2 linked regions of the Yarrowia lipolytica genome follow. The protein of the gene in region 1 interacts with the protein of each later gene in a biochemical or structural test. Links are inferred from orthologs where the notes say so. Each region holds a gene or a part of one and is shown in the gene's direction. Other genes may lie near its edges.

Region 1 (3,758 bases):
GGTGATTTGGAGAGGGAATCGGTCTTGTTCGGAAACAGCATAGAAGGCGAGTTTTTGTCTGAAAACTAGTTCTGTGAATAGCTGAAGATTGGGGGAGTATTTTTTCCACTTTTTTGATCGTTTTTGGCCAGAAACCAGCGATCTGAGTGTGGCACTGTACATGTACGTATTGTCATGTTCACTCCAGTATGTACAGTTTATATACTGTAAGTTGTACCTTTCATTTCAGTCCACCTTTCTAGAGTGTATTTTGTAGGAGATGGAGAGGTTCGATTGGAAAATGGAGTTGACCATTCGATTCTATTGTTCGAGAGGAATCTAAAAATGTCAAAAAATGTCAAAAAATGTAAATTTTTATCATTCAGTCACTGCTCAAATCTCTGACAGACTATACGCAGCCGACTTGAGATGTCGATGCGAGATTATACAAGTAGATATCGATGCGAGATATCATCCAAGAGATATATGGGCAGTGGAACACAGATATCAAACAGAAAGTCATGACCACACACCTCCGAGATCCCTTTTCCCTGGTCACGTGACCCACCCACCGCCTCTCGCCTCGTAGTTGTTCAACGCCACACCTATTAGCTTATTACGTCACTGGCTGGATGTATCATTTTACATAGTTGTATTTGCTCATTGCTGTGAGAGTCCAAGAGCTCCAAAATTGACGGTTTTTGCTGGTTGTTCTTGAAAGAAAGCTCGTTGAAACTCGTCAAAACTCGTCGAGAATTGTCGAAACTTGTCGAAACTCGTCGAAACTCGTCGAAACTCGTCGAAACTCGTCGAAAAACACAGATTCTCTTCGCTCTCCTCTCCTCAGGTCTCGTTCGCCGGATCTCCGAGACGCGTCACGTGGCGGAGCAGCCCATTTCCCAGAACCTTCTAAATGTTTCGGAAGCAATCCCCCGCCTGACATCTGTTGCCTTCAGTAATGCCTCAGTTCGAGTCCCGGTGGTGCTTCATATTCGCGGGGAATACCCAGTGCTTATAAGTGTCGCTATTGCCACCGGGGAAAGTTGCTCTGAAACAAGCCCGTCATCGCTCGTCTTTTAGGGCTCCTGCTTTGCCACCCAGCTGGTCTCTTTCATACAAGTAAGCCTCCCTGGGTCTCGTCAACAAGTACTTGACAGAAAAATCCATCTTGCAAAACAAAGTTCATCTCGCCACCTCAAACGACCCTCTTGGTGACTACTTGTACCCTCCTTACTCATTACACCACACTCAACCCCACACACACATCGACATATTCCACATGAAAAGCCTCTTTGCAGGACTGAGGAGTGTGACACGGTCGCCCGGGCTCATGTCCAGCCCGCTGCTGCGACCGCACGCTCTGAAACGGTCCGTTTGGACCCCCTACAACTCGCTCTCGCCTGTGCCGGTCTCGTGCCGCTCCTTCAACTGGTCGTCTCTTAAACCCGGGTTTCTCTCCGACACGGTGCCGACCCACGTGCTGGCCGAAAAGGAACAGGCTGCCAACCGCTCGCTCAACAACCCCCAGGCCCAGCTGGACTTCTACAAGGCGCTGATCAACACAAACTACCCCCATGTGGTGGTGCAGCGGTACGAATCGCCCGGCGTGGCCCGTAACGCCGACTGCGACAAGCTCTACGTGGCGGCGCTGAAATCGCAGGGCCAGCACGACAAGGCCGAGAACATGGAACACCGACTGCTGGGCGGCAACTTGGCCGGAAACGGACAAAAGGGCACGCGATCAGACCCCGTCCACGTCATCCTCAAGGAAACCACCGCCTCCGCAGTCACCAAATGGATCCGATTCATCCTGCCCCTTGCCCTTATCGGCTACATGGTCTGGCAGAGCATGCAGCTGCTGGCCGAGTCGTCGCTGCTCAAGGGATCCGGCACCTCCGGATTCAACTCCAAGCTCATGGACCCCACCGACGGCTCCAAGTCCACCGTCAAGTTTTCGGACGTGCACGGCGTGGACGAGGCCCGAGGCGAGCTGGAAGAGATTGTCGATTTCCTCAAGGACCCCTCCAAGTTCACCGGTCTGGGTGGCAAGCTGCCCAAGGGCGTGCTGCTGACTGGACCCCCCGGAACAGGTAAGACTCTGCTGGCACGAGCCGTGGCCGGTGAGGCCGATGTCCCCTTCTACTTTGTTTCTGGATCTGAGTTTGACGAAATGTACGTCGGCGTGGGAGCCAAACGTGTTCGAGAATTGTTTGAGAAGGCCCGAGCCAAGGCTCCTGCCATCATCTTCATTGATGAGCTGGACGCCATCGGAGGCAAGCGAAACCCCAAGGACCACGCCTACTCCAAGCAGACTCTCAACCAGCTGCTTATCGAGCTCGACGGCTTCTCTCCCTCCACCGGAATTGTGATTATTGCCGCCACCAACTTCCCCCAGATGCTGGACAAGGCTCTGACCCGACCTGGACGTTTCGACAAGATGGTCAACGTGGAGCTTCCCGATGTGCGAGGCCGAATCGCCATTCTGAAGCACCATATGAAGAAGGTCGAGGCTTCCCCTCTGGTTGACTGTTCAGTGCTTGCTCGAGGTACCTCTGGTTTCTCCGGAGCCGAGCTCATGAACCTGGTCAACCAGGCCGCCATCCAGGCATCCAAGGAGAAGGCGCTGTCCGTGGACATGTCTCACTTTGAGTGGGCCAAAGACAAGATTCTGATGGGAGCCGCCCGATCCAAGATGGTGCTCACCGAGGAGTCGATCCGAAACACCGCCTACCACGAGGCCGGACACGCCCTGATGGCGCTGTACAGCCCCGCTGCCACCCCCATCTACAAGGCGACCATTCTGCCCCGAGGCCAGGCCCTGGGTCTTGTTCAGCAGCTTCCCGAGCTGGACAAGTACGACATGACCAAGCAGGAGATGTTTGCTCGTGTCGACGTGTGCATGGGAGGCAAGATTGCCGAGGAGCTTATCAACGGTGCCGAGAATGTGACCGGTGGTTGCTCTTCCGACCTCCGACAGGCCACGTCCATGGCAAAGCATATGGTCACCACCTACGGCATGTCCGACGCAGTGGGACCCATGTCGTTTGGTGACGAGCAGTGGTCGCAGCATCTGCAGCAGCTGGCCGAGGGCGAGATTCAGAAGATTCTCTTCAACTCGGAAAAACGGTCGCGTGAGCTGCTCACGGAAAAGCTGCCGGAATTGCATCGCCTTGCGCAGTCGCTGCTCGACTACGAGACCCTCACTGCTGAGGAAATCAAGCAGGTGGTCAAGGGAGAGAAACTGCCCCGAGAAAAGGGTCTATCTGTGACGGTCGTCAAGTCCAAGGATATCCGGGACAACCGAGGCTCCAAGAAGAGCAAGGATGACGACGAGGACCAGGAGGACCGGTCGTACGACGACGGCGTCCGAATAGGTGCCGGCGCCGCCAGCGCAAAGTCGGCGTAGATGCATAGGAGGAGTAACGTTTTTATAGGAGCTGTATTGTAAATATTCACATTGAGGAGCATTGGCGGCACCACGCTGCTGATGCCAACTGTACTGTAGTTGTACATACTGTACCGGTAGTGTACATTCGCATCATCTAATCTCGTAATATAATACATGAGCTGGACCAAAAACGTCATACTTGTATCTGGTATTGTCATTCATTATATCATAAAGCTAACCCTTGAAAGCGTAGTCACCAGCGATCCACCGGTTGACCATATCCAGAGAAGTCTCGGGCTGGTTGAAAGGAACCATATGGCCGGCATCAAAGACCCGCAGGTAGGTCAGCTTGCCAGCGTTCTTGACGGTGCCGGCGTGAACAGCCTTGGTC
Region 2 (2,113 bases), on another chromosome or scaffold:
CCGGTTGCCGACACGTCGGTCTTGACATTAAGGGCCGAGGTACCGCTAACCCCACCGCCATGATTCTGTCTTCCGCCATGCTTCTGCGACACCTCAACCTCGATGACTTCGCTGACGTCATCTCCAAGGCTACCTACGACGTTCTTGCTGAGGGCCAGGTCCGAACCCCCGATCTTGGCGGCAACTCCACTACTGACGAGTTCACCATGGCTGTTATCAACAAGCTCCAGTAATTATGTATGATTTAGATGATATTATGACATTGAACGAATTATTGATGAGTAGTGGGTGTGATGGATTTAGTGTGGATGTACACGGTTCTTGTAATAATGTGCCATGCTGTATAACAATCGCCTTTCCGCAGCTGTATCTATGGGTATGATTAACTCTGATGATCCGGAGATAAACTAATCTTAACCACTGTACGATACATATACTGTAAGATGGCACCCTGTGGTTTAACCCTTGTAGCAATGTGTTTAAGCAAGGGAATATTGTGATAGAGAAGTGTATTTGAAGTATGTGGCTGGTACGGTACTTGTACGAGTGTGTTTGTGTATTCTAAAGATGGACATTCCACATATTCGCTGGTCAAGGTGTTTTGTTTGAGGATTCAGTGAGGCATATTTCTTCACTGGGTGTGATGGAGTTGGGTAAGGTTATAGGTTTTTACCAGAACTTGTACTTGTAGAAATACTGAACAACTATATCACCGTGATAAAGAGTGCATAAGAAGGTGCGTTGAACATGATGTTTCGGCGCGCAAAATCGAGAATTTCAAGTTTTTTGGTCGGTACTTGCGATAAGATGAGTCCAACTAAAATGTTAGATTTTCAATACCGCTCAAATTGCGTGTTTATGAGACTTCTTGAAGCCGTGATTCTCCCAGCTTCTCCGAACTCTACAAGGTTCATACCGAGATTTGGTGATGAGTGGCAATAGGAGTGCAGCGGTTCATTGAGGGCGAAATATCAGAAGAATGAGAAGATGTAGTTATTTCAACAGTGCACAATGATATTATATGCTCACGGGACTCTGAAAAGCCTTTGAACGCCATATTTCAGCCCAATCACACTCGCCCCTCTCTGGAAAATAAACTCGACACGTGATACCCTTTTCCACCTGGGAGTGAAAAGTATTCGTTGTTGCTCAAGACAATCACACACATCAGTCACCCAAATCACAACACAAGATGGATCAATTGAACAACCGAGAACAGCAGGAGTTCCAGCAGCTCGTCGAGCAGAAGCAGATGAAGGATTTCATGCGAGTGAGTATTCCAAATTTCTTGATGACAACCACGACAACAGAACAGAACACAACACCACACCACACATACTAACCCAGCTCTACTCCTCTCTCGTCCAGCGATGCTTCACTGACTGTGTCAACGACTTCACCTCCAAGGCTCTGTCTTCCCGAGAAGAGTCTTGTCTCGAGAAGTGCTCCGAGAAGTTCCTCAAGCACTCTGAACGAGTCGGCCAGAGATTCCAGGAACAGAACGCTGCTCTTATGCAGAAGAGATAAAATGTACATATTAATTGATCCCTGTTCGAGTTACTAGATGAGGCGGTGCAACCCCAATGATTGTGTTTGATGTTGCCCTTGTTGTACTTTGATATTGTATTTATTCTGCATCACTATCATCATCTGCCCGGAGTCTGATCATACTGGACTGTGCCACTCATAGCTGCACCACTTTAGTTGCAACTGCAAACATGGTGTTATACATTTGTAATCATTATCAATCGTAATTATGTTCTACTCCCCACCTGCTCCCCGAAACAAGGTCAAGAGAGCATCAGTCTCCTGCTGCATCTCTCGAGCCCACAGGTTTACATCAGAGTCCCAAGGGTTGTACATGATGGCGTTGGCAAACATCTTGGCGACCTCACGTTCAAGCTCAGAAGTGGATGAAATACGTCCGTCCTTGACCTGGGCCTTGATGGTCCGGATGTCCGTCGGCGAAAAGATCAACTCGTAGTAGTTGGGCGCACTGTTGGGATTGACAGGGTGTGTGAAGAAAGACGCAGATTTGTTGGATGAGATGTTCGAGAGCAGATTGCCAGCCACGTTCTGAAACTTGCGGTTGGCCGAAGGGGCAGCAGAGGTG

The links. The genes of interacting proteins can lie anywhere in the genome.
Region 2: the proteins of YALI1_B02375g (region 1) and YALI1_E05994g form a complex in vitro, tested with the Saccharomyces cerevisiae proteins (2 studies listed by BioGRID, with this or other methods). The link is inferred for Yarrowia lipolytica from reciprocal best matches to the Saccharomyces cerevisiae genes YME1 and TIM9.

Annotation. Positions count from the first base shown.
Region 1 is NC_090771.1:236,334-240,091, forward strand, and holds YALI1_B02375g (uncharacterized protein), read left to right. Parts: upstream 1-1,258; coding exon 1,259-3,385; downstream 3,386-3,758. Other genes in the region: YALI1_B02415g (uncharacterized protein), read right to left, coding at 3,602-3,758. UniProt on the Saccharomyces cerevisiae protein: Catalytic subunit of the mitochondrial inner membrane i-AAA protease supercomplex required for mitochondrial inner membrane protein turnover. The protease is probably ATP-dependent. Important to maintain the integrity of the mitochondrial compartment.
Region 2 is NC_090774.1:598,635-600,747, reverse strand, and holds YALI1_E05994g (uncharacterized protein), read left to right. Parts: upstream 1-1,192; coding exon 1,193-1,270; intron 1,271-1,347; coding exon 1,348-1,527; downstream 1,528-2,113. Other genes in the region: YALI1_E06015g (uncharacterized protein), read left to right, coding at 1-233; YALI1_E05975g (uncharacterized protein), read right to left, coding at 1,762-2,113. UniProt on the Saccharomyces cerevisiae protein: Mitochondrial intermembrane chaperone that participates in the import and insertion of multi-pass transmembrane proteins into the mitochondrial inner membrane.